Linked DNA regions of Caenorhabditis elegans. The protein of the gene in region 1 purifies or fractionates together with the protein of each later gene. This does not show direct contact. Each region holds a gene or a part of one and is shown on either strand. Other genes may lie near its edges.

Evidence for each region.
Region 2: the proteins of dis-3 (region 1) and exos-9 fractionate together in Caenorhabditis elegans (co-fractionation; one large-scale study listed by BioGRID). This does not show direct contact.

Annotation. Positions count from the first base shown.
Region 1 is NC_003282.8:10,094,987-10,098,912, reverse strand, and holds the start of dis-3 (putative exosome complex exonuclease RRP44), read right to left. Parts: upstream 1,712-3,926; 5' UTR 1,706-1,711; coding exon 1,619-1,705; intron 1,572-1,618; coding exon 1,375-1,571; intron 1,202-1,374; coding exon 886-1,201; intron 568-885; coding exon 327-567; intron 104-326; coding exon 1-103. Other genes in the region: msp-36 (Major sperm protein 10/36/56/76), read right to left, coding at 3,097-3,480; C04G2.5 (BTB domain-containing protein), read left to right, coding at 3,688-3,738, 3,831-3,890. UniProt on the Caenorhabditis elegans protein: Putative catalytic component of the RNA exosome complex which has 3'->5' exoribonuclease activity and participates in a multitude of cellular RNA processing and degradation events. Has both 3'-5' exonuclease and endonuclease activities.
Region 2 is NC_003281.10:7,195,755-7,199,680, reverse strand, and holds exos-9 (Exosome complex component RRP45), read left to right. Parts: upstream 1-1,614; 5' UTR 1,615-1,619; coding exon 1,620-1,685; intron 1,686-1,727; coding exon 1,728-1,822; coding exon of another isoform or gene 1,823-1,826; intron 1,827-1,872; coding exon 1,873-1,976; intron 1,977-2,017; coding exon 2,018-2,109; intron 2,110-2,154; coding exon 2,155-2,319; intron 2,320-2,365; coding exon 2,366-2,448; intron 2,449-2,491; coding exon 2,492-2,624; intron 2,625-2,675; coding exon 2,676-2,764; intron 2,765-2,818; coding exon 2,819-3,122; intron 3,123-3,178; coding exon 3,179-3,352; 3' UTR 3,353-3,456; downstream 3,457-3,926. Other genes in the region: pfd-5 (putative prefoldin subunit 5), read left to right, coding at 798-917, 967-1,062, 1,106-1,237, 1,289-1,399.

The DNA.
Region 1 (3,926 bases):
ACGTCACGGAGTCGAATTTTCTTCTCTGGAGCAGTCCATTGGTCTTCTGGCAAAAGTTGAACTGCGACGGTATCTCCATTGACGGCACGATTGCAATTATTTCCTAAAATTCGAAATAAAAATTTTATTATTCAGAGAATTGGAATTTTTGGAAAAATTTCACCTTTTTTAAAAATATAATTTCAGAGTTGTTTCGCTCAAAATGACCGAAAACCACCTAATTTCGTTATAAAAAAGTTTTTTTAAAATTCTCAGCAAAAAGTAATGACTTGTGTGAAAAATTTGGTTGGTTTTCGAAAATAAATATTTCAACTAAATTCAAGCACCTGTGATGAACCAAGATGTTAACTGATCATCAATAATAACAGTAGCTTCGCGATAATTTTCTCTTGAAACACTGAAATTTCCTCTTTTGATCGTTCCACTGGCAATTCCCTCCATAATTCTATCATGCGATAGATATTCATCGAAAATTTGTTTCTCATTTCCATTTCCAGAGCTTTCATACGCAGCCATTTGATCCAAAAGTGCTTGTTTTCCTGGATCCTCCAAATTTTGTATGTATTCCTGAAAATTTGGAGATTTTTTCTTTTTCTACGGGGTTACTGGATCATTTTTCAAACTTTATTGTACTTTATTATACAATTTTTGATTAAGGATCATGATTTTTAGTTGAATAAAAGTTTAGTTACGGCGAAAATATGTTAAAGAGGTGTATATTTTAGGGTTTTTGGCTGAAATAGTCTGAAACTAGCTCGGAACGACAGAATTTCATTATGAGTCTTAAGAAATCAAAAATTTTCTTTTAACAAAATTTGGCTCTTTTTCGAAATTTCGCCAGTTTCAGAAAAGATCCACAGAGTTTTGAACTTTTCGACTATTAACCTTTAAATACATCACGTGTTGGTAGTGATTTTCCATTCTTTTTTTCGAATCTTCATCAAAAACTAAGACAACAGGAGCCACGTTATGCTTCTGCCAATGAGTTTTCAAGTAAAGAGCTGTTGAAAGTAGAAGCTCTTCGCCACGACTCAAATCCTCAAATTTCGATGATTCGGAGAAGGTCTCGCAGTGAAATTCGTTCATGAACACGTGAAATCTGTCTTTCGCATCTTCATAACACAAAGAATTCATTTTCTTGTAGGCTGGTACAGCTTTTGCTTTGACTCCTTCCCATACAGTCTGGGTTACGATGAGATCTCTGAAAATTAAATATAATTTATTATTTTACAGAGTTTTTAATTGAAACTAGATGTTTGTTACAATCCCGACAACTTCTAAAAACTGAATTTGGAGCAACAAATTAAGAATTTAATAATTGGACAGTAGAACCATCTACATTTAAATGATTCCGCTGTAATTTTAATTCATTACCTCAATAAAGACGAATCAAACAAATCGTAGAATCTGATTAATGATGTGGAATCCACAATCAGCGCGTGCCTTCCAACTTTCGCATTTCTTACGGGATTTTCAATTTTTAACAGCGGATTTGTGCCGAAATCCTTGCAGGTTCCACATTGAGCAAGTCCACATGAAAGATCATTTCGTAGATATCTTTCTTCGGCTCTCTGCAAAATTTTAATTGGGTTAGGTGATTTCGGAGAGGTTTTCTCACTTTATAGACTTTCCCCGAGCGATTTTGGAAGTAAGTCGTGTGCAAAGCGACGGAATGAATTCCACTTTGTTTGACGTTCAAATCCATACCTTCAAATAATGAAAATACGTGTGAAAAACAAATAAAATCGCACGAATCAGGTGAAAAATGAAGGAAAAACTATTTTATTCGAAGAAAAACTCAGTGTACATTTACGGTGAACAACACGCGCGAGTGGAACATCGGAGTGTCGTAGGCACTACGAAAACGAACACTTCGAACAACACTGCCATCGCAGCTGCGAGGAAAAATGAAATGAAAAGGAAGAATATATCTAAATAGAGTATGGCTAAAATCATGAAAACGGAAGTTTAAACATCTAAAATAGATAATCGGGTAGGAAACATGATTATCTAGGGCCTCATAACCTTAAAAAATAATGCTCAAAACGTTTTTAGATTTTTGAAAATTTTTCAGTCATAGATTTGGTAAATTGCCAAACTTTTTTGTCTTACAAAATTTAATGCGGATGAAACTAAATAATCGCCACTTTTTGATTTTTTTTCATGTATGTAGACACAGCACTGTCCTCAAGGATGAAATCTGACCAGACTTTAAAATGTTAAATTTGTCAAGATGCAAAATATTTATTGTTTTAATGTTAATTTTTGGAAGCAATAAGAACAATAAAAACATTAAGCGAAATATAGAATCTCATTATTGAAAAAAAACGGGTAAGAACATGATAATGAAATACATATCTCGATGGACTTCCATAAGATGTTTAAGAATCGGTTACTGTAGAATTTGGAGTTGAAGAATTGGTTCTACCCAGATAAATTGAAATGTCTTCAGATCCATTAAACTTTGTATGTGATCTTGATCTTCTTCGTTCCCGTATTCTAAAATTAAAATACCTCCAATTTGGATATTTTTCTTCATTATATAATTTTTATCGAAAATTCGAAAATTTACTAAACCCAGCATAGAATTCAATACCAAGGCTTTCATCTAGAGAAAATTTGAATTCGGAATTTCAAATAGAAAAATACATAGCAGAGCTGAGACATTATATACCAGGGATCTTTCCTTTTTCGAAAATTCGAAAATTTACTCGAACCAATCAATAAAGTATTTTTCTCTCATATCAGCAAAAAAAGTTGTGATCGGTTCACTTGTTAATTTCTTTGATTTGTAAGAAAAATACACCCTCCTCGACCTTTACGGAGCAAAACAGCTTTCAGGTTTTGGAGAGATGGGCTGGGTTAGTAGTATGGTTGGGTAGTCTTCTGAACTGAATGACTACTGGAAGATTAAGGTAGGATTACTATAGTTCCAAACGATTTACAATAAATCCCGGATGCTTATGTTAAGGGCATCGATGGAACACAAAACTTGTTCGCTTGAGTATTAATATATATTCAATTTGCAGATTAAAACAGAAAAACAGAACATATACTTGAAAAAAGTTTATTGTTAAGAAACCCAGTTCACACATCCTATGGATTGTACTCGATTGGAAGGTTCTTGCGACGAACCATACCGTCTCCCTGGAACCATTCACGACGGAATTGCTTGGCAGCTCCATCCGGGGTGTTGGTCCACTCAACAGTGATACGGTCGTTGTTGGTATCCTCTTGTCCGAAGGCGAAAGCATCGCAGGAAACAGCAAGAAGCACAGCTTCCTTTGGATCGAGAACTCCACATGGTGGATCAACTCCAAGTCTCTTCATATTGGTGGTCTTGATACCATATCCAATACGACGAGCCGATGAGTTGATCACCTTGATGTGATAGGTGTGCTTGTCATCGTATGGAGCATTAAAGACGATCTTCGCGTTTGGTTGGGTTTGGATGTCTCCTGGTGGGACGGATTGGGCCATGGTCGTTCGATGAAGGAGTTATGAAAACTCTATGAAGATTATGGCAAAATATTCTCAATTTATAGCAACCTTCTTATCACTGTCCCAGATCTATAGACTACAAAACGTGGAAAAGGGTAATGAGATTTCACGGGGAAATTTAAAGTTTATTCGGGAAAATTCCCGATGATATTATTCATTACTTCATTCTCTCGTCTTGTTTCAAAAATGGATAATCACGACGATAAGTCAAAATCAGATCGTTTCTGTGATATAAATGTGAGTTTATTCAATTATAACATTCAGTTAGAACCAGTTCAAGTCTAGAAGCTTAATAAAAATTTTTTAATAAAAATTTTGATATTTTATAGAACAACATGACTACTCAATTTGATAGGCTATCAATAAATTCAGACGCTTCTTTGGTAATAGTGAGTTGAACTTGAATTTTTTATTTGAATAGCACT
Region 2 (3,926 bases), on another chromosome or scaffold:
GTCTCTTTCACGTTATCATTTTGAGACATAATTGGAAAAATTAGAGAGATTAGAGAAAAGGAAATTGAATGATAAGGAGATGAAAGTGATATCTTTGAAGGTTCAAAACAACTTTTCCACTTCGAGAAGATTCGTCTATAAAAAGGAAACAATTTTATGAAGGGATCTTTGTGAGTTTATAGAATTCTAGGGGTTGTAGTAGCTTTACCTTTCCAAAAAATGTTGTATTTCAGTTATGCCTTTTTCAAATGAAACAGATCCGCCAAGAAGTTCCAAACTGCAAATGATGTTTGATTTTCGAACTAATAGTTCAAAGTATCCCAGTCTAATTTATTATACACCGGAATTTTTTTATGATTCAACAAATAAAAAAGTGAAGGCGAAATCGGGGAATACCCTCAAGAAGATACACAACATTGCAGGGAAACAAAGGAGAAAAGTCTGGTGTTGGAGCTAAATGTCTTCAAATAAAAGTTACAAAATCGGTATTAATTGGTTGGAATCTCCATAAAATATTATTCAATTAATTTTTCTAAAAAAAAAACACCTTCAATATATTTTGATGAATAGAGCAAAAATCTACTTTTCGTCCTTCCTTAAAATATTATTTTTGAATTACCGCCAACAGTGGCCGTGGCCGCGCACATTTGAATTTTCTAGGCCAATGGTTCAATTCGAGAAAATTTCACCGATTTTTAATGCTTATTTTTTCATTATCCTTTTATCCATTTTTAGATCATAATTTCAATAAAGATTGTTATAAATATTCTTCTTTAATAATTATAAATAATTTTAGAATGGCAGAAGAACCGAAAGGAGTACCGCTGTCAGAGCTCAGCTTGCAACAACTCGGAGAACTCCAGAAGAATTGCGAACAAGAATTAAACTTCTTCCAGGAGTCTTTCAATGCTCTTAAAGTTTGTTGAATTTCGTATTTGTTTTTCAAATTAATAAAAATATTTGCAGGGTCTTTTAACGCGGAACGAAAAAAGTATTTCTGCTTTGGACGATGTGAAAATTGCAACTGCAGGACATACAGCTCTCATTCCACTTTCTGAATCGGTATATTTTCATTGTACTTTTTTAATAATTAATGATTATTCAGCTCTACATCCGTGCTGAACTATCTGATCCATCAAAGCATTTGGTGGAGATCGGAACTGGATACTTCGTGGAGCTGGACCGCGAGAAAGCCAAAGCAATTTTTGACCGTAAAAAGGAACATATTACAAAGCAGGTACGAACATCGAAAGTGTCTTACTTGAGTATTTAATCTTATTTATATCAGGTTGAGACAGTTGAGGGAATTCTGAAAGAGAAGCGAAGAACTCGGGCCTATATTTCGGACGCATTCCAGACCAAGGTTCAGTCTCAACTCGCCACGATGAATACACAATAAATGTCTGCCGAGAAATCTACTTCTGAAAATCTCTTGCTTTTCCGATATTCAAATTGTTGTTATCAATTTTCGATTTTAATACTACACCTTGCATTGATTCTTGTTCAAAATAATATGTTTCTTGCTTCTTTTTTGTATTCTAGCTAGTGGTTCGCGTTCAAACGCCTTGAGTACTTACAGTTCGAAAAAATAATTACTTTAAAATCTAACTTCAGAAGTAATGAGAGTTCAACCGGTGACAAACTGCGAGAAGGCTGTGATATTAGAGGCGCTGAAAATTGGAAAAGTAAACTGGTTTCATTGGATTTATTTTTAATTTTTTTTTCAGAGATTTGATTTTCGTAGTCTGGAAGAATTTCGGGATGTGAAGTTAGTGGTCGGAGCAGAAGTTGGAACTGCAATTTGCACTATTGGAAATACAAAGTTCGTTAGTTTTTCCTTATTATTTATAGTCATAAATTTTGAATTTTCAGAGTAATGGCTGCAGTAAGTGCCGAAATCGCTGAACCATCGTCAATGAGACCACACAAAGGAGTTATTAATATTGACGTTGATTTGAGTCCAATGGCTAATTATGGTTAGATTCCTATTTTTGATTAACAATTATCCTTTTTTTAGCCAATGAGCATGACCGTCTCGGGAGCAAAGGAATGGAACTGATTCGTCTATTGGAGCTTATTATTCGTGATTCTCGGTGTATTGATGTTGAGGTGAATTGAGCTGTAGAGAACTTAAATTACAAAAATAAATTCCAGGCTCTCTGCATTCGCGCTGGAAAAGAAATTTGGAAAATTCGAGTAGATGTCCGAATTCTTGACGAAGATGGAAGTCTTCTTGATTGTGCTTGTCTCGCTGCTATCACAGCTCTTCAGCATTTTAGACGACCAAATGTCACTTTGGAACCACATCACACTCTTATCGTGAGTTTGAATTTTTTTAAAGTTCTTAAGTAATCACAAATTTCAGTATTCGGAATACGAAAAAGCACCAGTTCCATTGAACATTTACCATATGCCAATTTGTACAACCATCGGATTATTGGATAAAGGGTTTGATTTCTGTCACAAATTCATTTTAATTTTTAATTTTCAGACAAATTGTAGTCATCGATCCAACAGATAAAGAAACTGCATGTCTTGATGGATCAATTGTAGTTGCCTGCAATAAGCGTCGCGAAGTTTGTGCCCTCCATCAGAGCACAAATCTCATTTTATCAACAAAGCAGGTATTCAATTTCGCATTTCAAATTTTCGAATATGACTTTAAAATTATTAAGATCGAGCGTTGCGTAAAGTTGGCAATGGCTCGTGCGGAAGCGCTCACTGCAGTTGTTAGTGACGTCATTAAACAGGATCAAATTGAAAGGTAACATTAGATTTTCAAATTTTGAAATTATTATTCAATTGTAAAATATTTCAGAAGCGCATTCAAACGTCCGGATGGTTTTGCAATCACCACTCCATCACTCATTCTCACAGCTGGAACTACAGCTTCTCGTCAAATTCGTGCTCCTGTAATCAAAACTGAGCCTGAGTCGTTCACACAGAGAAGTCTCTACCAACCAAGTGTTATTCTTAATGAGAATCCATTGAGTGTCGGATCAGTCAAGCAAGAAGATGTTGATGAGGAGACATTGCTCGCCGAGCAACTTACAACTATTCAGAATAGTGTTGGACAAGTTGAAGTGACTGAGAAGCAGACTGTTGCAGTTTCCAGCCGAAAGGTTTGTGAAATTAAGATTTTATTTAAACATTTTTTTACTATTTATTACTGTTTAAGCGCGAAGTAGAGGAAGTCAACGATCTTCTTGACGGACTCGACGATGACGACGAGGAGGAAGAAGTTCAAACAATGACACTGGGATCCGAAACAGTATTGAACGACGTGCCAATGGAAGAAGCTCCAGATGCCGAAGATAGCCTCGTGAATGCTAAAAAGAAAAAGAAGAAGTAGTTTAGATGCCGCTAATTTCTTTAATTTGTTGTCTTTTTCATTCCTTCCCATTTTTATTTGTTCGCAATGTTGCCTTGTTGTGTTTATGAATCGTTTAAAGTTTCATTCGGGAAGTACGGGATTCAGTTGAATAAGACATTTAGCAGCTAAATATTCCTGAACAGAGATTGACATGAGATAGAGAAAAAAACCAATGCAATATTTATATTATTAAGAAACCATGAGATCATGAGAATGCCTACCGTTGTTTTAATATCTCGTAGCGAAGGCACCTAAATCTCTCTTCGCCGCATGCTCTCTGCTTCCGCTACTTTCGTGCCAGAAAGTAGGCATTCTCATGAACTGGTGGTCTCTTAATACGCTGATACGAAATTTTGCGATTTCTGTTCAAAAAATACGGTACCGGTCTCGATAAGACAAGGTTTTGTAATTTAAAAATGCTGTGCGCCTTGGAAGATTACTGTAATTTTAAACTTTCGTAGCTACGAAAATTTCCTAAATTTTTCGTATTATAAATATATTAGCTTAGCAACGAGATTTTAAAATTACAGTAATCCTTAAAGGCGCACACCCT